Linked DNA regions of Rhinolophus ferrumequinum. The protein of the gene in region 1 binds, or shares a complex with, the protein of each later gene. Links are inferred from orthologs where the notes say so. Each region holds a gene or a part of one and is shown in the gene's direction. Other genes may lie near its edges.

The links.
Region 2: the proteins of NALCN (region 1) and NALF1 are in contact, whole or in part, in a cryo-EM structure (PDB 7CM3), measured with the Homo sapiens proteins. The link is inferred for Rhinolophus ferrumequinum from reciprocal best matches to the Homo sapiens genes NALCN and NALF1. Residues at the interface, in NP_001337678.1 of Homo sapiens: Cys207, Val209, Asn220, Leu222, Ala223, Ile224, Pro225, Thr227, Tyr237, Pro240, Phe243, Tyr406, Glu409, Phe909, Ala1044, Lys1045, Asn1047, Pro1049, Arg1054, Ile1060, Arg1062, Ile1063, Asn1064, Val1065, Ser1066, Lys1069, Lys1080, Lys1081, Gly1083, Phe1084; in NP_001073865.1 of Homo sapiens: Lys278, Glu281, Phe282, Val285, His287, Lys288, Tyr289, Leu290, Gln291, Glu294, Tyr295, Ser296, Val297, Lys298, Ser299, Tyr308, Trp311, Leu312, Gln315, Leu335, Gln338, Thr339, Cys341, Phe343, Ile344, Leu345, Pro346, Asp347, Asn348, Asp349.

What each region holds. Positions count from the first base shown.
Region 1 is NC_046287.1:46,437,403-46,452,332, reverse strand, and holds the start of NALCN (sodium leak channel NALCN), read left to right. Parts: upstream 1-7,663; 5' UTR 7,664-8,196; intron 8,197-14,930. UniProt on the Homo sapiens protein: Voltage-gated ion channel responsible for the resting Na(+) permeability that controls neuronal excitability. NALCN channel functions as a multi-protein complex, which consists at least of NALCN, NALF1, UNC79 and UNC80.
Region 2 is NC_046287.1:51,730,599-51,746,587, reverse strand, and holds the start of NALF1 (NALCN channel auxiliary factor 1), read left to right. Parts: upstream 1-9,621; 5' UTR 9,622-9,999; coding exon 10,000-10,893; intron 10,894-15,989. UniProt on the Homo sapiens protein: Auxillary component of the NALCN sodium channel complex, a channel that regulates the resting membrane potential and controls neuronal excitability.

The sequences.
Region 1 (14,930 bases):
TCCGTAAAAGGCAGGATCCAAGACAGCGGATATTACTTTATTCATTCAACAAATATTAAGTGCCCTGTATGTACTAAGCACTGTTCTAGGTACTAAGGATGGAGCAATGGATAAACAGACAAAACCCTGCTCTCATGGAATTTCTATTCCAGAGGTGTAAACAACGAGCAAGATAAATGAGTAAAATAATAGAGAATGGTGATATGTAAAAGAGCTGTAGAGAAAAGACTTTTTAAAAAAGAATGGGAATAACAAATTTTGTATTAAGGGCATTGAAATGTTAGGTAGAGTAGACAAAGAAGGTTTCACTGGAAGATGATATATAAGAACTAAGGGGGTGAGTGAGGCGAAGAGATTCCTGAGGGGAAAGTATTCCACACAGAGGAAAGAGCAAGTGCAAATGCCCTGAGGTAGAATTATAAGTGACAGTTCAAGCAACATCAAGGACGTGAATGTGGCCAAAGAGCAATTCCTGAAGCAGGGTAGAGGGAAAAGAGGTCAGAGGGCTAACAAGGTCATAGGGTGGACACATTATGTGGGGCATGGTAAGTCAGAGAACCGGGGATGTCATTCTGCGTGCAATGGGACCGGTCTCATAATGTTTTGAGAAGAGGAGTGGCATGGTAAATTTGTTTATTTCTTTGGTTATCTGTGCTGAGACTAAGCTGCAGGGGCCAAGAGACTAGTCAGGAGATACAGAAGTAATCCAGGCAAGAGCTGAGAAAAGTACGAGAGTTGGAAATTGTAAAACTCTGGTTATGTTTTTCTGATAAGTTGATTGTGAAAATTTTCAAACATAAGAAAAATTGAAAAAACTATTCAATATTCTGACATGCACCCACCACCTTGATGCCACTTACTTACTCTGTCATATGTTCACCCTTTTAACCTTCCTCCATCCATCCATCAATCCATCTTAGTATTTGATGCATTTCAAAGTAAATTGCAGACCTTCACACATTTCTGCCTAAGTAATTCAGCATGCATGTCAACTACAGTTCAACATATTTTACAGCCTTTTACTTTATATGAAATTTGCATAGAATAGACAACCTTTTTAAAGATATAGAACATTCTTATCATGCCCCCAAAACTACTCTCATGCCCCATTATTCTGATATTTTTCCATCATTATTTTTTCCTAATTTTGAAATCCATATTGATGAAACCATATAGTAGTAACACTTGTGTAAGTTTTCTTAGCATGTTTGTAAAGTTCATCTATGTTATATGTACCAGCAGTTCATTTATTTTAATGCCTGGCCTATCTCAATAATTACAGAGAAATCTAATTTATTTTCCAAACAAATTTGGTTACACAAACTAGCTTGTACAACTAGGTCATCATGTTTAAAAAATTACCCTGTGCTTAAAAATATATAGTTGAATTGTGGAGCAGCTGTCATTTGTGAAATAAGTAGCCCAGGGTTTGTAACATGATGGACTTATATCCCTTCAATATCTTGTGCAGTAAGGATTATCACAAAAATATATTAAAATCATGCTTATGTATTCTCCATCTGTGACCTAGTGATAATTATTTTCATAAATTTATCAGTCATTTGTTTCCAAAGTTCTTGAAAGAATAGAATCTGGATTACAGTAGGGCCTGGTATATGTATTGGTTTGCAAACATGGGGTTCCCCAAGTGAAATCTGAGCCTGACCCCCATACTCAGAGGGTAAGGAAAGACCAAAGAAAGAGGCAGACTGCTCTAGATTGGTAGGTGGCAGGTTTAATAAGCAAGGGAACATATTCAGGAGGCTTGTCTTAAGTGGGCACCAGATGAGTAGATCTTAACACCTGCCCACCCGAATCTTGAAAGTTTACATAGGCCTTAATGAGCTTCAGTCACCTATTCAGTCCAGATGGTCTCAGCAGCACCTTACTCTCTCAAGGCCATGTCCTTGAAAAAGATTCCTACTGTGTGATCAGTGGGCAGAATGTACATTCCAAGGACAGAGGGAGGGTGAGAAGCCTCTGAAGCCCGGGCCCAGCTTGTAGTTCAACCAGCAGTCATGTCCTCTCCCCGAAGCGTGTGTGAAAGGCCTGGACTCATACCGCTCTCCACTAACTCTACACAGTGAAGTACAATAAACTGTTTGACACACTTTGGCTGCAAATGATAGCAAATTATGTTTGAAAGAAATCAACATTTTTATTTAGAAGATGACTTCAACATTAAGAGACATTAAGTGTGTGTAAAAGCACACATGCTTTTCTAATTTTCCAGCAAACACTGTCGTGGGTGTACTATCACTAGGTTTCAGTGGACTAGTTGAGTCATGAGCAGAGACCAAATGCCCTGATTTCAGATTTCATGATGGCAACTCCAGGGCTCTGTAAAGAAGCAACTTTAGGCTAAACTATAGGGTGGCTTTAAAGTGCAACATAAGGAAACTGCATATTTTAAATTTTCTGATAACTCCAAATGGACTTGTTTTTCCTAAGTGTAAAGTCTTTGTTTCAGATGACGGCTGAGTATGTATGCCACCACACCTCATAATGACTATAAATCATATAGTCAGAAGAGTTTACCCTAAAGAAAAAAGGTTTAATATTTTGTTTTGATCTAGACATAAAGTAGCTGGTCATTGTTGATGAAAGTGTTTTTTTCTAGTGTCCATTTGCTCTCGTTGTCTGTGCTTTCATTAAAGACCACAACTTAAGATAACACTAGAGATTGTCTGATTTTGTCGTTCACAGCATTAATAGACTGAAAGAGAAATAGATGTTTATCTCAATAGATGTAGAAAAAGTATTTTTTAAAAAACAAGTCATTCAACATTAAAAAGAAATAGAAATAACCTTATACAAAAAAAATTATTAATTGAAAAACCTATATAGCAAACATCATATATAGTGTTAATCATTGGAAAGTATCCATTTGAGATCCAAAACTACCTCTGTATCCACTGTCTCCAAGGTGGCCAGCAGAGAAAGGCAAGGAAAAGAAATAAAATGTATAATTTGTAAAGGGAAAGAAAAACTATGATTTTCCGGAGATAAAATAATTATATATACAGAAAATCTAAAAACAAAAACCCTACATTACATTTTTAGAATTTGCAGGACTAAAGTTCTAACAAGGTTTCTGGACTTAGAAGCAACTAATAAGAGAATGAAACTTACTAACTCCTGTTAGAATATCATCTACAGAGAAAGTTGTCTTAGATTAGCTCGCTGGAAGCAAGAGCTGAGACAACCAATCAGTGGCATATGATTTGTTCAAGGGGTGCTTTCTGGAGAAATGAAGGGAGGGTAGCAGGAGATTGCTGAAGGAGCAGAGGAAGGATGCGGGAGTCTAGCTCAGCTGGGTCCTATTGGGATCTCTTGAGATGAATTACACCAGAGCTGATCCACCTTTAGATGGGAAGGCCAGCTTGGCTTGTCCATTTATCATTGATTTCAGACTGCCCCTTCCCCTGGGTGGGATGGGGTTATATCTTCCCAGGCGAGGCATCTCCCATTCTGAAAAGGGCTGTTTTCTGAAGAAGGAGACAGTGATGAGCTGTTAGCACTCATCCTAACAGCAGCTGGGGAATGGATGCCCTGGTCTGGTAAAGAGTCTCTTGCTGTGTGTGGCATCAACAGAACCCAACACTGTCACCCCTTGTTCTCAGTGCTCCTCACATCTACTTGCTTCACACATTGTTTAGTCTACCCAGGCAGAGTTTCTCCAGGATTCCGGTTGGTCCCAATTTCTGGGCAATTTATAAGAGGAGAATTAGCAAAATGAACAACAGTCCCCACCGCTGCTACTGGCCCCAAGTTGATAAGTGATGGTCATCAGCTCTCTCCTGTCTCACCAATTCTTGGTCCCTCAGCCAGCACTTTTGAGGGGCTTGCCTTGCAGAGTTCCCATCCCCTCAACCCTGAGAGAGCTCAGTCCTTGGTTAGCATAAATTTATTAATATGTTTTGTATGATAAATGAGATCTTCAAGGTTATTTTCAGAACTCAAATGTTTACTCCTATCTGGTAGAATCTGTTATTAAATAGTCAAAACATGTATCGTTTGATTACTGACTCATTCTCTTGAAACACGACCTTTGTTTCAGAAATCCACTAGTTCCTTTGGCGATCAGCTCAGCTGCTGCTCAGTACCGTGAAACCTCTGTTTTACTCCCTGCATGAGTGTTTAATTGGTATTATTATTTATTCCTGATTTCACAGTCTTCCTGTTTTTCTTCTAAAACCTAACTTCTCTGAAAATATAATCTAAAGTAGACAAAACTGTGAGCTAAGAATTTTCTGTTAAATTAACCTGTAAAGTATGCATAATGGCAGGACCACACTTCTACACGATGTGATTTTCCAAGTCCAGCTTGTCCTCTGGAACGCCTCCTATATCGTTCGACTTTATTTTACTATCTTGCATTTCATGTCCCAGTATATTTCTGCCCATTTTAAGAGTCGTAGTTCTGTCTGAGGTATGTACCATCTTTTTTTTCTTTTATTTGCTATTGAAGGTCTCCTATCTATGGCTGATCTAAATGCAAACAGGAACGACTTGAAACGTAAAATGGCAGTATGACAACCTTGCAAACACCTCAAATCTGACTCAGCAGATGATCTTTTACCACCTAGTTGCACTCACACGTTCTTAGTGCTTCAGATAACAGTTACAATATAAATGCAGGGTCTACTGGGATTTCAGAACTGCTCCAGGGTCCATATGATGATGGAGATGCATGGGACTTGCTCCAGGGTCCATATGATGATGGAGAAGAGGGAAGAGAGAGAGCAAGTCCACTCAGTCTACTAGCAAAGGAATGCTTGTGAATAGGTACCAACTACTGCAATTGTGTTACTCAATGGGATGCCTCTTTTTTTAAGAGAGATTTTCCAGTTGTATGTCCTACTGCAGAAGTACTTAAACAGAATCACTATGGAAATATTTAAGATCACCCAGGTGATCCTTATTATCAGGGAAGTTTGGTGAACAGTGCCTTAAGGGAAAGGTAAGATGTGAGGTGTCTTACAAAATCTTGTACTAGTTAACTGGGGAATGATGTTTTGTGGTTGCCTGCACAGCTGATTCAGGAGAATACTACAACCCCAGAGGCACACAGTATTATGCTTCCTGCCGGGATGTGTCGGAAACAAACTGTGTTACACCTCCCCAGAGTCCCCCATCACCAAAATGCATCTATTCTGCAGAGACTGAATTCTGTACATGTTAATCCATACTGGGCAATTAGTAAGCACTGGATGCCTCCTGGTTAGGCTGCTGATATTTTTAAGTAGGTCTTCTAGACCTTTATTTTCCCTGCTCAAAGTGTGTCAATCATATTTATATTTGGTGGCAAGAGGACCATATACGAGCCCTGAAATCATGCAAAATTAGCAAATGTGTACACGTTAAAATCAATCTTAACAAGGATCTTTAAAAAAAGAGAGCGAAATGGAGCATCTTGAGTAGTTACTTCAGTGTAATCAACCCATAAATCTGATCTAACAGAGTCCTTCTGGACACTAATCAGTTCCTATATTCCCATAGAGCACAAGGCGTTCTTCCCCCCTGCTCTCCCGCCCCTACCCCGCCGATGGATTTTAAATTTTCTCTTTTAGTATTGTTATGGTTTTCTCAGCTACTAACTATAGTGTCAAATGAGATGCTAATTTTAGATGGAAATAAACAGTAGGGAGAAATATATCATTTTCATCAAATTCTTACTATCTTGCATTTCACAGTTACTTTCATTCCAAAGCACCTGCCTGGACTATAAACACAATTTTTTTCTAATTGATGGTTTACTGTCTTGCTTGTAAATTGGCCTGGCTTCATATTCTGATTGTAAGATTTCTAATATTTGATTGACTGTTTCTCTCTGTTCAACTGTGCCCCTTCCTCGATCTCATACTGTTAAATACAGCTTTAATTGTATGAGCTCACCCTTTCACATGCCTTCTGGAGCTGGGCATTGAAGTGAGTTGGGCAGGGGCAAATGGGAAAAACATACCTGTGTAAGGGAGACACAGGACACCTCTAGCTACTTTTTGCCATGAGGTAATTCAAACCTGACTTGGCCAGATCTTCTTATAATTCATAATAAACTAAAAATCTCGTGGTTTACAAACGTTAATTGATCTTAATTTGTCAAAAATATTTTGCAAGCCAATCAAAACACACTTCTGAATTATATTGAACCCACAGAGTAGCAATTTGCTGTCATTGGGTTACAGCAATGAGTGTAGCTACAGAGCCCTTTGTACCTGAAAAAGATGCTGTCCATCCTCTCTACTTTTACTGATAAGAAAATATAAGGATGATGAGCAGGTAGAAGAAGTGATGTGATATTTAGGACATAAGTATTAATATGTGCCTTCTAGGATGATTGTCTATGCCCGTAAACAAAGAGTTCCTACAGATTCCAGGATAAGTGTACTGAGCTTCTCCACTGCTGTTTCATTGAAACCCACAGATTTCCCACAATTTTCTCCATCATTCATTGTTTGGCTCCTAAACATGAATTATATTTATATAGGAGAAGTTCAACCATAAACACGGAGGAACTCCCTGAAATGCCTGATTGGTGAGGAGTGGTGCTAAGATTAGTAAAATTACTGCCATTATCAATTCTTTAAAAAATTTGTAAATATCTTGGTCTTTCATTATTTCATGAATATTGTTTTCTAATTGATAATTCTAACTTGATGTATTCCAAAGAATGATACACAGCTATATATTTTAAGATACAAACTGAAATCAACTAGCAGTTAGATCAAACAATTAAGAGCAGTAACTTAAAATAATGAAACAAATCTGTGCATATTTTTACTAAACGAACTGTTTATAAATATACCATTGTTTAAATTATTTTCCCTTTTGTGTTATTAGAATATTTCCATATGATTTCATCATTTGTTAGCTTTTTATATATTTAGTCTTTCTGAAATCTTTGGAAATTTGAAAAAAATATTAGTTACATGTATTTCACAAAACGCTGATTATTTTTTAAATTATAAAAAAGTGCTGATATGAGACAATAAAATAGCTTTAATATTGGCCCAAAGAGAATGGGTTGTCAATAGCATTTTTTTAGATAGTGACTTCATTGAATATACGTAACCAGAAAATACATCTTTAAAAATTTGTGCGTATGAACTTACTTCCATTCCTTGGGCAATAACATTTTGTGATATGGAACTGTTCTTCCTTTAGGAGTTCTGATTTCTCCTTTAGAGGAAGCTTCATTCAGTTTTTCTCTCTCCCTCTCTATTTATGTGCCTGCGTGTGTATGATGTCTAAATCACTGTCAAGGCTCCCTGGGTGGGTTTAATATCTGACTACAAGGCAAAATGCCAGCCCGAGTAAACTTTCCAGGGAGTGCAACTGAGAGGATGAATGTCCCCTGGGCCTGAACACGGTGCTCAAGATTCCAGGATCTCCCTAAAACTGTCCTGCTAGGAGTCCAGGAAACCTCAGAGGCAGCTTCCTGTTCTGGTATACCTACAGTGCACGGAGGAAACTATCAGTTTTTGAATGGACATCCAGCCTCATCCACATAACAAAACATTTTAGTTTTAAGGAAAAATGTTAATGTGTTTAGAAGACTACCATAAGTGTCACTGAAGCACTCATTATGTAACAAGGTGAACTAGTCCGCATCCTCAGATACTGTCCAGTAAGACAAGACCACACACTCGCACACACATACACACGCCTTGCTCACTCCTGTGAGGTGGCCTTACGTGTGCCCATCTCTAGTGCACACGGCCGTGCTCGGTGAGCACGACAGAGACCACGAGAGGAGCTGGCAGAGGAGAACCCAGCTGTTGCTGTGAGACTGCCGGTGGCAGCCAGAGAGAAGGAACCTGCCAGCACGGACCCTGCTGCTCCCCACCAGCTGCAGCGCAGGCTCCTCTGCAATTTCCTCCCTTCAGCCCAAGGCAGACCCTGCGGCAAAGCCAACTCTGATTTGAAAAAAAAAAAAAAAAAAAAAAAGAGGCAAAAAGAAAAAAGCCCTAGTCCCTACCCATCTCGCTCTGAGGCCCCGCCGCCTGGGTGGCAGCAGCGCGCGCCAGCACGCGGAGCGCTGAGCCGCCGCACCGGCTGGGTGGCGCGCGCCAACGGAGCTGCGGGAGGTGAGGGGCCGCGTCCCCGCGTGGTGGGCACCGCGCCCTGCCCGCTGTCGCCGCCGCCGCAGCTGCACCCGCGGCACCATGACCGCTCTGAGCACTAGGGTTACAGGTTGGTCACCGCCGCCCGAGGCCCGGGTGCGCGCCAGTCCCTCTCGCCGGGGCTGGGCCCAGGAGGGCGGGGGCGGGGGTCGAGGGCCCGACACCAGGGCAGAAGGGGCGCCCCCACCTTAGGCGAGAAGGGGGCGCTGGCGACCGAGATGCGCCTCCCTGGTCTTTCAGCGGGATGCGCCTTCCCGGGCCTGGGAAGCGCACGGGTGGGCGCTGGAAGCCGGGGGCCGCCAGACCTAGGCCTGCCCCACCAGGCATTAAGGGTCAGGTGGCTGGGGATGTGGTAGGTGCATGGGCCTCTCCGCCCCTGTGGGCGATCGCGCGGTTTGGGGAAGCTGATCTGCTCCAGCAGGTTTCAGAAAGGGCCGGGGGCCCTTACCCACCCCACCTCCGTGCTTCTGCGAATGGCTCTGGGCTTCACATTCCTCCTTTTATTAATTGGCCTGGCTGAGCCTAATGATTGTTTAAATCATTAGGGTGGCTACACACAACATGCAAAAACACCATTCTGCCAAAGCAACACCGTTTTGTCATTGAGCCCTTAAGAAACGTGTAGATTTCCAGGCTGGAAACTCAAAGTGGGCCCAGAAACCTGAGCAATGGGTTACCCTTCTGACTCGAATTTTCCACTTTCAGGGTGGTTGATGACTCTGAACTCAAATCCTGATATATTCTTGACATACCATAGGATAACTCTTCCAATTTCAGGCATAGTTTTTCAGGGATATATTAAGGATGTGTATTCATACACACACTGGCCCAGGCCTGTGAAGGTCGCAGTCTTTATCTTGCCTTTGTGTGGTCATCAGTAGGCCTCGATTGCCCTGGTGGTGAAGTGGGAGGTGGGTACCAGTGACTGTTGTGAATAAGAAGGATAAGATTGAAGGAGAAGACCTTTAATAGGGATCAGAAATTAATAGGTAGCTATTTTTTAAGTTTATGATTTATATTTTTATAGCTACAACTGTGGTTTGATTTGAAAGGAAGTAGAAAGGGAAAGGATGGACTATGATGGTTATCCCTGAGGCAGACATACAGCTGGAGTGATTTTTTATATTTCAAAGATTGTTTCAATAGTTCTAAATAAAAATGATGGCTTCTCAAACCTCCACAACAACAAAATTCATTTCCTAACTGGTTGGTTCTCATTCTGTGGACCTTTCTATGTTGAATTTTTCATTCTTCTATAGTGTATTTTGAGCTAGCTATTGCTAAACCCAAGCAGACTGAAGGAAAAATCAGATTTGGGGAAAATTTTTTAAATGGATAGGCTCATTGGACCCTCTTATGTGTTTTTAGCATACTTGACATTTTGGCAGAATAGATACTCTGTCATTGATAAGGACTATACTAGAAGCTCTATAGAAGCTGAAGATACTCTGTCTTGTGAGCTGGTCGTAATGTAGTTATAACTTTGGATATGATTTGCAAGATATTCAACAGAGGAAAATGTTCTACTTTTAAAAGAAAAAAACCTACTCAAAATAGTATTAGTCGCTGCAGTTTAGAGAACTAAAGGTTTGAATAGCATTTTCTTCTTATTTGGGAATGACATGTTTTTGAATTGTGTTCTATTTGCTTCTTTTTTCTTTCCTGCATACATTATAAGTGTGTGTAGGTGCACGCACACCTGGGCACACATGTACGTACTTATTTTATCATTTATCAATGATGCTGAAATAATTTCAGAATCTTCATGGCTATATAAATTTATTACAGGGGGGAAAAGTCACATGTGGATTTAGATTTTGTGAAGGAAAAAAATCACATCTTTCCACAGTATTATATCTTAATTGTAAGCCAGGCACCAGGCCTACGGATTCAGTGAAGAAAGAGATAAATAAACCCAGACCCTAAGAATCTGTCAGAAAAGACAAATCTGTAATCAAGTGGATAGAGTGAGCATCCTATGTTCTAGTTTTGGTTTGGAAATTATGACCTTGAGTTTAAAGAAATTTTGAATTGCCCTTCAAAATTGGTAACAACATTTTAGAGTTTGATTATCATGTTATATGATTCTTACCTGTCTCAAGGACTTGTGCAAGAAGTTTTTACACCTTCAAAACTCTTTGTGTGCAAACATTTAAAATCTTTAAATTTATGCTTTGAATTTTAAAATAATCAGACATGATGGAAATGACACAAATGGTAGAGAAAAGAGAATAAACACCTATACTCCTAACAACCTAACACAAATGATTGTAATATCTGTATTTACTGCAGCCTTTTTAAGACTACATACTTTGTGTAGTCATAGTCATGTATTGTACATTTTTTATACTGTTTTTCCGTTTAACATTTATCATAAGTACTTTTTCGTGTTTCTATATACAGTTTACTTGCTTAAAAATTGTATATGGCTATCTGTATGTATAAGATTAGCCTCATTTATATAGCCATACCTCTGTCATTGGATATTTGCTGTTTCCAGTTTTCCATTATTATAAATAATGTCCCGATAGAGTACAGGGATTTATTCCTAGTGGATGTTATTTCTCTTCATGATAAATTTCAAAATAATAATGATATTCCTGGACAAATAGATTATTTAAATTATTATGGATATTTTATGTATAAATTATGCATATATATAACGTATATTATGCATATATACATATATTCAAGTTCATTTCCTAAAGATTATAATTACAAATAAGATGCATTATATGCTTTCTGAGGTAAATCTGCTTTCTATTTAGTATTTGTGGATAACCTTCCCTCTTTTACAGGAATAAGATAAGATAATAGCTTGGACCTAAGACCTTTGCATTATATAAAGACTTGACCTTAAACAGATTAGGTTAACTTAATTAGATTACCTTAATCTGAAATCCAGATGATAAAATATACCCCTTAGAGTAAAACCTAAACAGGAGTGGCATAAAAGTAGTAAGCTGTAAAAAAGAGAGTAAGCATGTAACGTCTTTTAGGAAAAAGGAATGTTGAGCTCCAGAGTGTAATTATGCTTTTTTGCTTTCTTATTCAGACTTAAAATAAATGATCAAAGGAGTTTATGTAGTGAGAAACCTGTACCCCACAGGTATAAAGTGAAAAAGACTGTTCACTATATACTCCAAGGCATTTCTCATAGATTCAGTACAGATGGAACTAGATTAATAGAACTATTGGGCGAGTCTGAGGTTTAAGTCACGAGTCCCTTTCTAAGAGAGTTGTACAAAAAACCAAGGAACAGAACTCCTGTAGACCCACTTAATTTGAAGTGTTGAAGGCTAAAGTTGGATCATTCTCTAAGAAAGACAGAATTACATGACTTTTGAAGCAATTTCTCTGTGATACCCTAGGGCAAGTGCAACCATACCAAATGGAATACACTCAGATGACAGGGACTAAGTCAATGTGTCCAGAGGTGGGGCAGGAGTCGGGATTCTGGAGAGGAATCCCAGGAGAATTAGAAGAGAAAGGTCAGAACATTGTAGCCAAAGGAATCACTTATATGGAGATCAAGAGTTAGACTTATCTCCAATTATGCAAAGAAACAAGATGAAAAGAGGAGTTTGTTTGGGGCAAGGATACATGACGTTTATGGAAGACAGCCAACAGAGACACACAAGTAAATGGAATACAAGATCAGAGCAAATAGAATACAAGCCATGTTCTAAGTCAAATACAATATTTTCTTTTAGATTTAAAAAACAAAAAATATGCAGATGAAAATTATTTATAATGGACCAGGAAAATTTTAATGAAAAGCAGCCAACATCTAGTTATAGCATGGTGAACACTTGGAATTTGAAAAAAAATTTTAAAGGAGAATATCCCATTGATATTCTGGTCAAGTTAAAAAAAATGTATATCACCGATCTCCAAAGGAAAAATTTATACTGACTGGATGCACCCTCTCCAAAATGAAACCTAAGCAAAGAGTAAAATAATATTCTGAAAATGTACAATTCTGAAAAATACTAGAAGACAATTCTCTTATGATACTAATATGAATCAAAAAGGGAATATGAAAAAGGTGAAGAAATAGTAGGGCTTTTTTGGTTGGCACATATTAGGCAAGTGCTACTAAAAAAAAAAAGTAAGGTAGAAATATGTAAACATCAAACGATTCAAAAAGTAATTAAATGAGAAAAAACATTAAAGTAATAAAAGTTACCATCTTTAATGAAATTATAATTACAAATCTCATATATATTAATTGTCATAGCATTATAATACGTATAACTGAAAGTATTACTATGTTCATTTATTTTGGGAGACATGACCCGTAGATGCAATGTTCCCTCAAAAGGTTCTGTGACCTATGGTGGGATTGAAAAATCAGCATTTTGGTTTGAGAAGTAAAGAAAAAAAAAAAAAGAACTGGAGAGGAAAAGAAAGAGGATAATGTTTAAAAACATGAATGGATTCATTATGAAATGGGAAAGCTTTAGATCTGATAGAAAAAAACTAAGAGCCTCAGCATTCTAATCCTTAAGTCATATTAATCTATAGCTATCTATAGGATGTATCAGTATGCCCAGAAATAAAGATGAGCTCAAGAAGAAGGAGAAAAATAAGAATGGGGGTCAGTGAAGGAAGGTATTGGAGAAATTGGAGATGAAATTCTAAGGATGAGTAACTGAATCAGACTACAGTAATGAAAAAGCAGAGGCAATGGTAGAGATTTATCGATAGAACAAATGCTAGTATCTTGGTGACCAAACCAAAAGAATGAAAAGGAGGGATGGGTGAAAAATAAATCCAGAACTTCAAGTTTGGCTGATTGTAGGTGTTTTTATTCTTAGTTTGTTATGCCTAGATTAAACAATTGATTACTTCTTTATCATTGAGTTAGCTGTAAAGCTTTGGCTTTATTATTTTTAAAAATCTGTTCTCCTTTATTATTTTTATGGAACCATAGATCAGCTTCATTTATTACTTCTGGAGTAGAGGGAGGATTTTTTAAAAATTACTTCTTATTGCTGAAAAGTACAAATTATGGAAGCCTGTATCAGACAAAATACAAATTTGTATCAGACAAGATACAAGTCAGTGAAGGCTGAAAATACTATTGCATATATGTAACAAAATTTGCCTGAGGTTAAAAAAAAAATCCTAGATAATGTAAAATTGGGATGGGAATCTTTCAAGCATGGAAACTTGCTTAACGATTAACCCAAGAAGTAAAGCACAGAAATTAGGATAAATATTGTAAATAAGGGATTTAAATTTTCAGAAATAGAGCTTGCTGGATTTGGAGATACCTCTCCTTAAATTATTCTTTCCATTCCCCTCAATTCAATATATGTCAATACTTTATGGAGAAAAGATATTAAACTCTGGTGAGCTTCAAAAAGACTTTCTACTTTTTATTAAATAAAAATTTAAAGTATTTTAAAAACTGACTTAGTTGAAGTAGGCAATTTGTTTTCCCTTCCTCCTTTCAAGAAATAAATAGCTATTTTAGAGGTATATTCTACACTAGAAAATTATAGTAGAAAAGTCAAGGAAAAACCACATTTCTTAGTAAACTTCTCATAAGACAAACATTTATTCTTGTACATAAAATATATTCCATATAGTATTTTTTGAGAAAATTCTGAAATTCTCTGAGAAAAATTTAAAAATAGAATATACTGTATGTACATAGAGTTATAAATCAAAAATTTTGTCTCAGATTTCCGTTTTGCCTGTATTGTTTATAGCTGGTCTCTCTAATTTTTTTTTTTTTTTTTAATTTCACCAAACAACTAGTCTTGACTACAAATAGTAAACGCTACGGTGTTAAAATGCTCTACTGAACATCTAGACCAGGGATTTCATCATTAGTTGAGACCACCGCTGGAAGTGTGTAAGAATCACTTGGGGAGTGTACCTTAAAGTACTATTTCCCATAACCACCTCAGAAGGTTCTGATTTAGTATATCTGAGGTGAAAGACACCCAGCATTGAGAATGTTTAAAAACCTCGCTGGATGATTTATGTATTAAGCAATCTCAGGAAGCTGCTATTTTAAATCCTTCTCCTTCTTTGTGCAAAATCTGTGGATTCATATTACAAAATTAAACAACCACACACCAAAAAGGTAACTCCTTTCAATTTTCCATACTATTTTACGTATAGAAAAGTTTGGAAAACCACTATTTTAAACCATCCACCTTTTTAGTCCAACCTTTGTAGATTCATTACAACATTAAGCATCCGCAAAAAAAAAAAAAAATAGATAATTTCCTTGTCTGATTTTCATAATAAAAAGCCTGTTATTGAACTATTGGATAATAAAAAGCATTAAAGGCTTTGCCACTACCTGGAGGATGGGAAAGCCTTTTAGGGACTACTCTGAGATTAGTAAACTCTCGACTTTACAAAATCACATGGTCGACCTGTGGTGTTTTGTAACTCTAATATTCTTTTTTAAATATTCTTACAATTTACACTATACCCAGAATAACTCACAAAATTACAAATGCATGTCCTTTTTAAACTTGCAGTGAAAGACAAGGGCTTGTGAAATGGACTGAGTTTTCTGAATAAAGGCTGGGGAGAGGCTGCTCAGCCAACATGTGCAAGCTGATTGCCTCAATTTGTACTCAGTACTACAGTGATTTATGTGATAAATACAACTTCATTTCCTCCCCTACTCCTTGGCTATTTTAGTTTTGCATGCAGGGTACAACGACAAATGCATGCTGGGCCATCATAGTCTATCCTGAATTCCTTTATCAAGTCTAATAATTTTTAAAAGTCAAAGAAAATTCAATTTTCACTGTTACAAAACTGAGACAACAG
Region 2 (15,989 bases), about 5.3 Mb from region 1:
GAAGGCAAAGGAAATACCGTGTTTCCCCGAAAATAAGAGCAAGCCGGACAATCATCTCTAATGCGCCTTTTGGAGCAAAAATTAATGTAAGACCCGCTCTTATTTTATTATAATATAAGACCGGGCCTTATATAGTATCACATCATATCATATCATATCATATCATATCATATCATATCATATCATATCATATCATATCATACTGGGTTTTATAATAAGTTTTGCTCCAAAAGACGCATTACAGCTGATTGTCCAGCTCGGTCTTATTTTATGGGAAACACGGTATTATAAAAGCAAAAATAAATGAATGGGACTATATTGAACTAAAAAGCTTCTGCAAAGCAAAAGAAACCATCAACAAAACAAAGAGGCAGCCAACCAAACGGGAGAAGATATGTGCAAACAGTGCTTCCCATAAGGGGCTAATAACCAATATATATAAAGAACTCATACAACTCAACAACAACAACAAAACAATCCAATTAAAAAATGGGCAGAGGCCCTGAACAGACACTTCTTCCAAGAAGATATACAAACAGCCAACAGATATATGAAAAAACCTAAACTTCACTAGCTATTAGGGAAATACAAATCAAACCCACAATAAGATAGTGCCTCACTCTTGTTAGAATATCTGTCATCAATAAGACAAGTAATAACAAGTGTTGAAGAGTCTGTCGAGGAAAAGGAACCTTCATATGTACACTGCTGCTGGAAATGTAAATTGGTACAGCCACTATGGAAAAGATTGTGGAGGTTCCTCAAAAAATTAAGAATAGAGTTGCCACATGACTCAGCCATCCCTCTTCCAGGTATCTACCCCCAAAATTTGAAAACATTTATTTGTAAAGATATATGTACCTCTATGTTCCTTACAAAATTATTCATGGTGGCCAAGACATGGAAACAATCAAAGTGTCCTTTGATAGATGATTGGATAAAGAAGATGTACATACAGAGGGGGGCCAAAAAATGTATACACATTTTTAAGAAAGGAAAACTGTATTGCAATTGTAATACTCAATATATACTAATAACAAAAGATGAATACAAGTCACATTTGACTTCTGCAATTATAAGAGGTGCTCAAAGTGGTTACCATCAGCATCCAGACACTTCTGATTACGGCGAACTACTGCTTGAGTAACATTGACCAAAGTGTCCACTTGTATACATTTTTGACACCCGCTGTATGTACAATGGAATACTACTCTGCCATAAGAAGAGATGAAATACTGCCATTTTTGACAACATGGGTGGATCTTGAGATTATCATGCTAAGCGAATTAAGTCAGAGAGAAAAAGTTGAGAACCATACGATTTCACTCATATGTGGGATATAAAACTTAAAGCAACACATGAGCAAGGCAAACAAACAAAGAAACAACAACTCATAGACACAGACAATAGTTTAGTAATTACCGGAAGGTAAAGAGGAGGGGAGGTGGCAGAAGAGTTAAAAGGGGGTCACATATTTGGCGATGGAAGAACTGACTCTAGGTGGTGAACACAGTGCAATATATAAATGATGTATTATAGAAATGTACACTTGAAATCTATGTAATTTTACTAACCAATGTCACCCCAATAAATATAATAAATAATAAAAAAGATCAATCAAAATTACAGAAAGACTCTGGTATATTTACCATTGTAGGTAATTAACCGGAGCCCTCAGTTACCTGATAGTTCTAGAATCTGTTTTTATCTTTAAAGAGATGTTTATATTAGCAAACTGTAGGAGACTTAAAAGCTAAAGGTTTAATCTTATGTTCTTCGTAGGTAAACATAGACAACTCTTTATTAGCTCTTTATGCTTAATTTATTTTAAAATATATTAATATGCTGGTCAATAATTTGCATATTATCTGTGAATCCTGAAAACACAAAATTCCTTTTCTAGATCAATATGTACATTAGAATGTAATCTAGTTTCACTTATGAGGTGTAATAAAAAAATACAGTGAATGTTTAAATAAAAACCAATTTATTACAGGAAAAGACACATTGCCATTAATCCCCCAAAAAACACATCTCCTCGTTTCCATCACACTTATCCCATCATTCTTACTGCTTTCTGAAGCAGTTCTGGAAGTCCTCTTTTGTGTCTATAGTTTCGCTGTGATACCTGCCTCGATGTCTTGAACAGATTCAAAACGTTTACTTTTCTTGGTCATTTTGACTTTGGGGAAGAGCCAGATGTAGCATGGTATCAGATTCGGTGAATAAGGTGGATGAGGACACACCGTAATGTTTTTATTTAACAGAAATTGCTATACCTGAAGCAATGTGTGACACAGAGCCTTTCCGTTGTCATCAAGAAGTTTGGTGAATGCTGCTGCCTAGTGCCATCCAACAGAAAGGCAGGGATCTTCAATACTGGAAGCCATGTCCAACCTTAGTAACAATGTGTGACAAGTCTCAACTTGTTCAGTGTAGACAGTTGAGTGTGAACTACGGTTGAGAGAAAGTGTGTTTTAAAGTGTGCTGTAAATCATGAGGACACTGTAATATTTTTATTTGACAGAAATTGCCATACCAGAAGTGATGTGTGACACGGAGCTTTGTCATGATGGAGGATGATTTACGGCACACTTTAAAACACACCTTCTCCCAACTGTAGCTCACACCCGATTGACTGCACCGAACAAGTTGAAACTTATCACACACTGTTACTAAGGGTCAACTCACCACCTCCCATATTGAAGATCCCTGCCTTTCCGTTGGATGGCACTTGGCAGCAGCATTCACCATATTTTGTGATCACAACAGAAAGGCTTCATATCACATATTGCTTCTGGTATGGCAATTTCTGTCAAGTGAAAACATTACGGTGTGTCCTCATCCACTTTATTCACCAAATCTAACATCTTGCTATTTCTGGCTCTTCCCCAAAGTCAAAATGACCATAAAAGGTAAACGTTTTGAATTGATTCAAGACATTAAGGCAGCTGTGACAGTGAAAGTGAAACCATAGATACTCAGGAAAGAGGACTTCCAGAACTGCTTTGGAAAGCAGCAAGAATAATGGGATAAGTATGTTTGAAGCAGGCGGACTTTTTTTTGAGGGGGATTAATAGCAACGTGTGCTTTACTTTAATAAATTGTTTTTTATTTAAACACTCACTGTATTTTTTTGATCACGCCTCACACAATAACAATGAGGATGTGCCTATTTTTGTGTATCCAGAAGACATTTAAGGTATAAAAAGAAAGTATATCAGGATTGTTATATATTTGGTTTAGGGAGTAGACATATTCAAGTGGTGGTTTTGCTAGAAGAAAAAATATATTTCTTCTTGATTTGACTTTTCTGCGGTAAAATTATTTGGGACATGTTAACTCTAGTAGATTTAAGGGTAAATTTTTGAGAAAGCAAGCATATTATATTGATTTTCAAATATAAAAGCAGAGTAAGCAAAGTATCTACCTTTCAATGCATAACAAATCTAGCTATTTAAATAGGAAAAAAATACAGATTCCCATGAAAGTAAGTATAATCAAATAACTTAAAAACTTTGGATTCTTTGAAGGACATAAGCATAAATGACAACCTGAACAGTAATACAGTAAGTACATTCCAATACCATATCCCTCAATATAATATTTGCAATTGTGTTAGTCAGCAGCTTTGTGAAATGTGCCTATGTTATTAAACTACTCTATGCTATTAGTCACACTCTTAGGTAAAACCTACGTAGGAGTTTCTAGACTCCACAGCCTGCCTTTTCTGATAAATGAAACCTAAACTTCATCCAAACTATTTGCTCTTCTTTTCCACTGTGCTACATTTGAGCTGATAAGCTAACAAGAATCAACATTTACTAATCTGGTCAACACCTTCTTCGAACATATTTCTCATTTTGATTTTAGTGAAGAGTGATATTAATGAAAACGAACTTTTAAACCACTATCTAAACCTCCTCAATGAATTCCAACCACCTTCAGCAGAACCGATTTCCTTCACTCAGTTTACAATATTGTTTGTGATGGAGCCCCAGCTGTTGTCTCTAGTTTCTTCCTTGCAGATTCCCCATGTGTTCCCCACACACCAGCACAGCCCACTTACCCATAGATCCTCCAGGACCCTGAGCCCCTTCAAGCGCCAGAGTCCTTGAAAACTGGAGGTCTTCTTCAAGAATCCTTCCTAATGTTGCTCAGTTCCCTTCATACCTTCCTGTCTTGGTCCTTCTCAAAATCAGGTAAGAGTTCACCTCTCCTCTTCTGGAGTCTTCTAAATTGCCAATTCGCCAGCATTTTCCACTGTCTTGTGGTTGCTGGCCTACTTGTTTTCTCTTTCCCTTAGCTAAGCTTCAAGAGGCCAGACATGGTCTTTTATTTCAGATTCTCCATAGTTCGTTCTAGAACCAACATAGAACAAGCAGAGGTGACATTGGATGTTGACAGTTTACTTCCAGAGGGTCTGTACACATAAAGCTGTCGTATTTTAAAACATTCCAACTCATGGGAACTATTAGAAGAAGGCAAGGTCCAGATTACTTAAAAACAAAGAATTAAGTATGGTCTATTGTAGAAAATATTATTATCCTAATTATTTTTTAAAAATCAGATAAAACACTATTTTAATGCAGTATATCAGACTTTTACTAAACATTGAAATATTTTGTGAGACAATTATAATTTGACTAGATATGAGTAATAATAAGGTAAAAATAACAGAGTCCAGCTTTGCTTCTTTGCCTTGTTTGAGAGTAATGGACCTTTAATTTATATATTGTTCCTTTCTTTTATTTCCCCAGTCCTAGTTCTCTTTCTGATTTAATCACATACTTAGAGAAAGAGAGATGCTGATGTTCTGAGATACCATTAGAATTTGTGTGTCTCTGATTAAAATTAATAATGCAATACTGAAGAGAAAATTGCATTATTATCTAATAAATGTGGTTATGTATGCTATCATACTTTCTACTTCGACTGTTAAAAAAAATTTGGTTTAGTAAATGTCATAAAACAGAGGGATTTATAATATAAAATAAATGTTAGATACTACAAAATGGAAATAATGACTGTATCTGGGTGTTGGTATTACTTACGACTGACTTTTAAAATTGCTTATTTGTTTTTTGTAATTTTCTAAAATGTTCATGCAGTACTTGTATTATATATATATATATATATGGACATACACACGTTTAGCTTATGATATATTGTCGAGGGTCCACATATAAAGTACAAACAGACAGTTGCCTGAATAATAAACAATTCGGTTAATAAATAATATTTTCACCTGAATTATGGAGAAAAATTCAGATAGTCAGATTTAAATGAAAATTGTCAGTTGTTCCCTTAACTTTGTATTTGGCAGAGAGGTTAAGAGAGTTTGGATATATTTTTTTTTTAATTTATTGGGGTGACAATTGTTAGTAAAATTACATAGATTTCAGGTGTACAATTCTGTATCACATCATCAATCTATCACATTGTGTTTTCACCACCCAGAGTCAGTTCTCCTTCCATCACCATATATTTGATCCCCCTTACCCTCATCTCCCACCCCCCACCCCCCTTACCCTCTGGTAACCACTAAACTATTGTCTGTGTCTATGAGGTTTTTTTTTTTTTTCTTAGACGTTTATCATTTGTATCCCTCACACTGTGGACCCCCCTCCCCCCATCCACTATCTCTCTGACATCACACCACCGAGCCATCCCATTTCCACTGTCTCCACTCCCAATGCTGTATTCTGCCTTTTATAAATGTGTATATATATATATACATACATATATATATATATATGTATGTATATATATATATAAAATATTATAGTTGGCATTCATTATTATTCAGCTTCAGGTGTACAGTACAGTGATCAGGCATCTACATCTTCCCTGAGATGGTCTCCCAAATGGGACACGTGTCTATAGGGAGTTTGGATATTTTGTAGACTTTTAAAAATATTCTATAACAAGAGAGGTATGATGAGGTGGTGATTCTAGGTGAAAAGAGTTCTTTGATTATAAATTCGCTGAATTAAAGAAAAAATTATAGCTTTATTTCTGATGCCTGAACTTCTCCTATGCAGATATGAATTAAGTAACTACTACTTTGAGGTATTTTTAGAGCAGTGGTTCTCAGTGCGAGTGAGTTTGTTTCCAGGTGACATTTGGCAATGCTTGGTAACATTTTTAATTGTCAAAACTGGGGACAGGGGGTTTGCTACTGGTACTTGTGAGTAGAGGCTAGGGAGGCTGCGAGCCTCATACAAAGCATAGGACAGACCCCCACAACAAAGAATTATCTGACCCCAAATGTCAGTAGAGGAAATGCTGCGAAACACTGTCCAGAGTAATTGTTAATAGTTTGATCTCAGTAGCTCCGTTGGTCCTTAGCTTTAAACCATCCCTTAGGAGTTACCGTATTTTCCCATAAATAAGACCTAGTCAGACCATCAGCTCTAATGTGTCTTTTGGAGCAAAAATTAATATAAGTATTATTATATTATATTATGTTATATTATACCCTGTCTTATATTAAAATAAGACTGGGTCTTATATTAATTTTTGCTCCAAAAGATGCATTAGAGCTGATGGTCTGGCTAGGTCTTATTTTTGGGGAGACATGGTATAAATGAGTCTATCTGTCAATAGCCAGAGCACTTAACAGTGCAACTCTAGGCTAGTGGACATGAACTTTGAAGATGAAACTGAACATGGAGTGGTGGGGTTGTGGAAGGGAGTTAGTCAAAAACTATAGTATAGTTGACTTGGGGGAAGAAAGAATTTATATTTTAGGAACAAATATGATAATTCATTTCAGTGGGACTTATGCCACTTTTTGTCTTGAAAGAGGACTTAAGGTCTTCTTTAGATCCAGCCACGGTGTAATTAATCACTATGAAAAGGAGCGGGTTTGACTTGAGCTGTGAGTCCAAGCTGCCAGGGTTGGAGGCACATGGTGTGCAAAGGCAGCCGGGTTATGTGGTGGTCAGGTGGTGCACAGTGGGAGGTGGTCACCGATTTAGGTATTTTAGCCAGTTTGCACACCTGTCTCCCTTTAGGGTAGGAGAATGGCTGTGGTGGATTCTCCCTTTTCATGTTAAAAAGCCAGTCACCCTCAGATCATCTCTGTGTTCTGAAACTAGGTCTGGCCTGCCTGTGAGCTTTCTGTGTGTGTCCCAGCTCAGGGGCACCCTGTGGGCTTCCCTAGTCAAGGGTTTTCTGACCGTTCTGTCTTACACAGACAAGCGACATCAAGAGAAATATAAACCTGTCCTGGCAGCATCTTCAAATGAGGAAGAAACAGGGTAAAAAAAAAAAAAAAGGAGTAGATAAGAGAAAGAAGTATGAAATAAATCCTGTAACCCAGGTATTAAATAACTAAATCTAGATAGAGATAAAGATAGATAGAAAAATAGATAACAGATATAAGAACTATTCCTTTTAAAATTCTTTTACAAAAAAAATCCCCACTCTGAGTTTATAATAAGAACGGCTATATTTGATCACAAAGGTCCAACAGGTTCAAAACAAAAGGGAGAAAGAATCATTTCAGGATTGAGAATATTATATGCTCATTTTCATGTTCTGCAAAATCTTTTATCAAGAAACATAAATGCAGACTTCTGCTATCTTTCACATGTATTTATTTATACAACAGAAAATGCCAGACCTTATACTCACTTCCGTCTACAAGCCCACTTTATGTTGTATTTAAAAATACCCACTTTTCTGTTATCCCAACACCCACAGCGCCTCTCCAAAATGAATACGGACGATCCATCCCTTTGGTTTCTCAAGATATTTATTAGAACGTTGGCACCCAGTACTGACAATGTGACGTGCATGTGCACCCCGCAGAGTATGAGGGTCATTAGAAAGCAGGGAAGGACGATGACACAGTGATTGCCAGGTGGAATAAACCACTTTCCTAGGCGACCGCCAGAGAGAGCTCCGGATAAGGCTTCGCTAGGGTTGCGCGCACAGAGTGGCGCCTGGCACTCGCGCTGTCTCCTGTTCCCGCAGCTCGAGTGGGAGTGAGGGGTGGAGTGAGCAGGGTCTTTAGATAAAGCCAGACTGATGTTTACCCACAGCATCAACCAGCACGAGCAGGGATCGTGGGGACCCCAGGTTTTCCCAGCGCGCCCGTCGCTTTCTCGGAACTCCGAGAATCAACGCTAAGGGGCACCAGAGGCTTGGACTGCAGCGCCTGACACCCGGGCAGCCCGTTGACCTGCTGCGGAAGTCCTGGGGAGAGCAAAGCCTCACTCGGTGGGCGCTGGGGCGCAGGCCTGCGGAGCTAGGGTTAAGGGGACTTGGAATGCTCCAGATGCAAGGAGGAATCCTAGGTCAACACGTTGAAGTCGGAGCAGAGGCTAGGCTTTGACCGCTGGTATCCGACGTCTTACTGATTTTTTTCTTGACTATATGAGGACACTTATTTTTACTTTCGAATATGAAATACGTCGCAGTAATATATACAGCGACATATATAGATGTAGACACACCATCCCTTCTATATATGGCACGAAACTCATTTGACAAAATAATGCACTGGTAGTTGTTGATCGCTAGTTTTCTAGCGATCCCAAGGCACATGGAGATCCCAAGGCAGATGTCACCTCCTCTATCCTCTAGCCAATTCGTGTTTACTCTCCTATTCCCCAACCTTGCATTTGAAGTCGATCATTACTTAGTTAAGAGGGCAATATCCGGACCCTCTCCCTATTAGCAACCCTGAACTGCCCGCCTGCAACTCGGGCTTATCCAAAGGCAGAGAGAGAGTGGAAGATGCTGAAGAAATGATCTAGCACCCTCAGTCATGCATTCGCGTTCTGACTTTTGTCAGTACTAATAGAATAAGACTAAAGGTGGGGATAGGGGACAGAAAGGAAGGAAGAAGCGCCGGAGCCCAGAAGCCCAGGCGGGGCCCGCGGGCACAGCCGCCCCCCGCCCCCCCCTCCCCGGCCCCGGTGCGTCCTCGCCCTCCTCCTCCGCGCTGGCCGAGCCCGGTGCCAATGCGCCAGGATGGAGAGATCTCGGCGCGGGAGGAGATGACGCAAAAGCCAGCGCTCCCCCCAAAAAAGTGTTTCTCCAGGACGAAGATGGCGGCAACTTAGCCGGGGACTGAAGATGACTGTGGCTCTCGGGAGGCCCAGCTCAGGCGATTCGGCCCCAAGGTCCGGGGGAGGCGGTGTCAGCAGTCAAAGCCCGGCGGCGGCGGTGGCGCCCGCGGGCAGACCTGCGGCAGCGGCGGCGGCGGCGGCAGCAGCAGCAGCAGCGGCAGTTAGAGCGCGGGGTGGGGGGTGGGGGGGAGGGAGAGCCCTGCTGGCGGCGGCCGCCCAGGCTCCGGACTCGGGGAGAGACAGCAAGAAGTAGGAGCAGGAGGAGGAGAGAAAGAAGAAAAGGAAGGAGGAGGAGAGGAGCTGGGGAGGCTCTCTGGTCGCTGTCAGTGGGCAGCGGAGACGCGGAATGCCCCTGGCAGGGGGGAGCGGGCTGTCCTCAGCAGGGCCATGGGGACCCGCGCTCTGACAATGCCTGGGTGAGAGGAGCAGCGCCAGCCACCCTGCCACCTCCATCATCACCTCCTGCACTCAGCTCACCACCGGCCACCAGCCCAGCCTCCTCCGACTCACTCTCTCTCTCTCTCTGTCTCTCTCTCTCTCTCTCTCTCTCTCTGCATTATTGTTTCCTACTCTACAGAGGATGTGGTCGGCTGATGATTAGGTCGGAAGCAAGTCAGATCTTCCTCTAAAGCCTGGTAATATTTATGTAGGGAGAGAGAGAGAGAGAGAGAGAGAGAGAGAGAGAGAGAGAGAGAGAGAGAGAGAGAGAGAGAGAGAGAGAGAGAGAGAGAGAGAGAGAGAGAGGGAGAGAGAAGACAGAGAAGAGAAGAGAGGGAGAGAGAGGGAAAGAGAGAGAGATAGAAGAAACGGGAGGAGGGGATAAGGAAATTAAACCCTTTAAGTCAATGCATATTGCGGTGACACCGGCACAGGAGCCCTCACGGTGGAGTCGGCCAGGGCTGTGCGTTCCCAAAATATGACCAGGGGTGCTTGGATGTGTCGGCAGTATGACGACGGCTTAAAAATCTGGTTGGCAGCACCCCGGGAGAACGAGAAACCGTTCATCGATTCAGAGAGGGCTCAGAAATGGCGACTGTCTCTGGCATCTCTCTTGTTTTTCACAGTCCTGCTCTCTGATCACTTGTGGTTCTGCGCCGAGGCCAAGCTGACCCGGGCCCGGGACAAGGAGCAGCAGCAGCAGCAGCAGCGGCAGCAGCGGCAGCGGCAGCAGCAGCGGCAGCGGCAGCAGGAGCCCTCCTGGCCCGCGCTCCTGGCGAGCATGGGGGAGTCCTCGCCCGCCGCCCAGGCACACAGACTCCTCTCCGCCTCCTCGTCCCCCACCCTGCCCCCCTCCCCGGGAGACGGCGGTGGCGGCGGCGGCAAGGGCAACCGAGGCAGAAACAGCCGGAGCAAAGCTCTTTTTCTAGGAAACTCTGCCAAACCCGTGTGGCGCCTGGAGACTTGTTACCCCCAGGGCGCCTCCTCGGGCCAGTGCTTCACCGTGGAGAGCGCCGACGCTGTGTGCGCCAGGAACTGGAGTCGGGGGGTGGCGGCCCGGGAGGAGGAGCAGCAGGTGAGGGGGACGCATCCAACTCCGCTCTGGAACTTGTCGGATTTTTACCTTTCGTTTTGTAATTCCTACACACTTTGGGAGTTGTTCTCGGGGTTGTCAAGTCCCAACACTTTGAACTGTAGTCTGGATGTGGTGCTTAAGGAGGACGGCGAGAGGACCACTTGCAGGCAATGCATCGAGGCTTACCAAGACTACGATCACCACGCTCAGGAGAAATACGAAGAGTTCGAAAGTGTGCTCCATAAATATTTACAGTCGGAGGAGTACTCGGTGAAATCCTGTCCTGAGGACTGCAAGGTAGGAACGGTGGTTTCTGTTTTTTTGTTGTTTGTTTTTTTTCTCTCTGCCCGTCATGTGCTTTTCTATCTGTTTTGCTTGGTTGGAGTGTCTTCTAGAGTTTTTTTAAATTTTTTTTTTTGGCTCTGGTTTTCTTCAGTCGTCGTTTTTGGGTTTATAAGAGCTTGCCTTGCTGCTTGAGTTGGAAATACCTCGTGGATCGCTGGTGGACTGGTGGTACCTCCTTCTGGGAATCCTTAGAAGATCAGGGAAGACCCAGGTCTTCTGAGATAATCAAGCTAGTGTGTTAACTATCTCTTAAAGATATGTAATTGGTTTAATCTCTGTTACCTTTTATTAAAAAAAATGGAATTTAAATGTGGTTTGTTAGGAAGACAGTGATGGGACTGATGACTCCATCTAAAATCAGAAGTCAGAGACAGGCATGTATGTTTTGGCTGATGGACCTGCACACATGAACTCTCTGATAGTGAATCAGTAAGTTGGTTGGCAAGGAGGGACAAGAGAAAGTATTTGTAGTTGTTTATGTAGGAAGCACAAAAAATTTTTTACTTGTTTTACAGGGGTATTTCTGGTTATTTGGAAAACTGGAGGCCTACCTAAGGATAATTTATTCACCATAAGTTTTGTGTGTGTGTGTTTTCACTTAGACATTTGTATAATTATTGAGCTGAGACTCAATATGAGTAGGATTATTTAATTAAGTATCTGGTGATCAATGATCACTGTTAGGTTTTATCAGAGATCTTATATAATTAGTTTGAATCTTCAGAATGCTCTCCAGTACTAAATGGCAAATGCTTTATGCTATGAATGAAAAATACTGAACTCTTTCAAAATGTGTATCATATTCAATCTCTTCGTGTTTAATATAATAATGGATGTAACCCTTGCTGATTGACAAAGGAGAAGTGTATGCAAATTTCTTAAAAAATGACCAATGCAACCAACCAGGGGCGCATGTCCTAGTAGAAGCGTTACTGTCCGTGGTGCTGAAATAAGATTTGCCCAAGAGATCTATTGAAGATGAAGATACAGCAGTGACCTTTCAGTAGGGAGGAAATGATGACAGAATCTCAGTAAGTCTTAATGTTTTGTTCCAAGGGTAATTTCTTAAACACCACAATAAAATAGTATTGCTTTTAAAAAGAAATAATACACCACATTCCCTCTTTTCCTTTCACTTCACTACTTCCCCAATACCACGCAGGAACAAAACAACTGTCCCCATTTTGCCTCACTTGCTTTGTACTGGGGAAATATGGGCAATATGGACCAAAGGACCTTGTGATGTTTGACAAAATAACTGGGCTAAGGGATACCTATTTATAATAAACATGGTTCAAGGGCTGTTTTTACTTTGGATTGATTAGTTGTGCTTTTGACAGTTAAGCTAAACTCAAACTAAACTTGCTTTGTCAACATACTTCAAGACCAGAAACAGATCTTCTTTGAAAACAATAATATTGAGGTTACATTAATTTAGAATGTTACTTCACTGGATACATGGATCTGAAACTTTCCTATGTATTTTTCTTAGCTGTACCACTATACCTCATGCATGGGGATTAAACTTATTCTTAGTGGTAGAAGTTAATAATGAATGACTAGTGTGATTTTTACATATTTATTTTGACAAGTTGTGTTGCATTGGAAAAATGAGGACAAATAAGGAAACTTATGTACCTCCTAATTTTACTACTTATAAAAATGTTGCAAGGGTTTCAGTATACTATTTATATTTAAAAGTGGTACCTTGTAATAATTTGAATCTGCCTGCTTTTCTGAATGTAATTCTTATAGAAATATCTAGAAATTGCAATTTGCATAGGTTCAGTGTTTAAGAGATAATCTGTATGGTCAGTAGACTTTAGACTGATAGTAGACTATCTTTCAAACAAGCATGTCAAATATATCTTTGTTCAAATATCCAAATTTTAAATATAAGTAGATGTTTATTTTCTTCTTGACCCGAAGTAATTCTCAACTTTATATTTATGTCATCATAGGTGTAAGGTATAGTGTAGGTTAAACTAACTTGTATTGTTATGAAATACTTCTGGATTGTGTTTTTGTATAAAGTCGCAGTTGTTGACTGTATACACAAAAGCACATTATAAAAATCTTAACTCCTTTTTAGAAACATTTTTTCTTCACATTGCAAAGTAAGTACAGTCATTTGAATTTCTCAACCCACACACAGAATTTATGACCTGTGATATCTTGTAGCTATTTCTTGGTTTTGTTGTTTGTAACTTTCAAACATTTATTCAACAATAACTGTTTCCAAAAATAACATTTTCAAATTTAAGGTACAAGTGTTCTTGGTTGATAACTTACAAATTGATTGGTTAGTTCCTTAGTTTAATATATATTTTATAATTTTGCAAAAGTCACAAAAATATCCTCTACAAATTATGTTACATGGTTTAAAATGCTACTTGGAGTCTGAAAAATGTGTCTGAGATTCTTTCTGAACACTTTTACTTATTTCAAACATACTTATAATTATGAAATTATGATTATCATCAGAGACTTTGTTCAAGATATACATTTTATGCAAAATTTTCCATATTTTAAAGTAGTCACATAGGCCTAGGCTATTTTAAAATTAAATGCATTATATTTCTGGACTTGGTAATATATTCATGAAAACACCCAATTTAATAGTTTATAAATGTATTTATAAAATATAGATAGAATACATTTCGTCATATTAGTTATACAAATTATTGGAATTTATATTTTAGGAGAACTATATTAACTTTATCATACTCATATATAATTAAATAATTAATGCAGTGATTTATAACTTTTAAAAGTGAGGACATATACTCTTTTAGTTTTATACTCTCTCCCATTAAAAAAAGCCACATTCCATATATGTGTAAAATGAAATAGATTTAATTTAATTTTTATTTAACTTGTTTTAAAGAGCTTTTTGACCTCTTATGCAAAAACAAACAAACAAACGAACGAACAAAAACAATCTGATACAATCTTAATGCCTTGAGTCCATAGTCACTGGAGATCAAATACACCTTGGATTTACTTTAGTAAATTTTGTATTACAACACATAAAAGAAATCATTTGCACTCAAAAATATTTTTTTAATTTTCTGAAAAATAGCTGGCTTGATTTTTTAAAAATATAAACATTTATCCTGGGAAGTAATTTATGGAAAAATAAAGAAGATCTTTTGCACATACCTATGCTCATACGTAGTCAAGCTATTATATTACATAAATCAAGTAGCAAAAGTTATGACAGTAATTCTATGTAGGTTGCAGAGTTCTTCAAAATAATATTTTTGATATATGATACAAATCTGACTAATTTGTAATAATCTTCAAGTTGGCTGGTAATATTTAAATATGCAATATTCTTAGCTACAAAAGTACATATACATATTATTAACACGTTTTATTTTTTAAATTAAATATTTTCTCTTAAATATGTCTTTAGCTCCTTAGCATACTTGAAAATATAGATTATGAAATTGGGATATTTAGGGAATATAAATTTCTATGTTACAGGTAAACTTTTGTTACTGATAGCTTTACTTACTTACTGTACCTTAAGCCAGATGATTAGTTAAAGAAGATTTGAGATTAGATTCCAAGATAAATATCACATCATCTGTATCTTAGTTCTCACAGGATAAATTCTAATTTTTATACTCTTAAGAATATATGCATTCTCATATTTTTATTTTTGTTATCTCATATCAAAGCACATTCTTTTGATGATTTTTATTTAACAGACACTGACTGAAAAGATACTTGGCTAATGTTAGGCATATGTAACAATCGTGATACTTGAGGCTTTCTGTATTGTTTGCAGGAACCATTCACAAACATTAACCAGTTTGAGAACATGGAATTTGGGTTACATGATGTGCAATTTGAGCATTTCTTAGTTCTTAATTCACTTTGTTATCATGCACTCTAGATTCTTGAAAAATGTTTTAAAAATAAAATCAAATATCTAACAATTCTTTTCACTTAAATATTGAGTATAAAATATTATTCTGCTGTTGATTAAATGCTATCGTACATATTATGACACTGTGTAGAATACCAGAAGTGTAGAATGCATATGCAAACAGACCTGTTTTATATTCTACCATTTTATTATTTTCAATCATGTTTTTATAGTTGAGTTGCTTCTCTGCAAAATCAGTCTCACCATTCTGATAATCACTTTAGCCATTAATAAGGCCATTTATAAGGTTAAAACCAATATCATAATAATTTTTATGACCTAGATTTTTGTTTTTCATAGTTTTGTTCCATATACAACGACTAATTTTATGATCTGTATTTTATTTTTATAGGGAAACACTCAAAATTTTACCTTAATATTAGATGCCTGTTGTTTTATAGACTAAAGAATGAGTATTTTTACTTTGGATTTATAACTGGGTCAGATTAGTAGCTATATAGGGTACAACCACAAAGCTTTAATAATTGTTGTTATACATTGGTTTTATTTGCTTTAATTAGATGAGGTTGGCATCTGCATGTGCAAGATGAATTAAAATATGAAGGGAAAGAAATCAATAATGCTCTCAGTCTCATGCTCCCCCACATAGAAATCATAATCCATTAAGATAATTTTTTCATGCTAGATTGAATATATAAGAACAAGTATCCAGATAACTACTTCAAACAAAATACTCTTTTGGTTTGAGTTATCTGACCAATTGTTTTCATTTCAATCCCCAATTTCCTTTTTAATCTTCATCTACTACATCGACCTCACATTGAGGTCAACCAAACATTTTGTTGTTTATACTGATTTGCACTGCAAAGATGTTTCTTCGCTATCAGTAAATATTTACTTTAGGTCAGTGATGCTTGGGATCACATTGAAATATCCTGGGCACCTTTGAATAGGCATCCAGCCCCAGGAGATTCTGATTTCATTGGTCTGGCTTGTGTCGTAAGCGTCGAGTCTTCCACTTTCCCTCATGATGCGTGTCCAAGGTTGAGAACCACTGTTCTAGTGGACAGTGACAACCAATGAGGAAAGACTTTCAGCTCCTACGTATGCCTCAGTAATACATAGTAATTTCATTTGTTTAACTGATTAG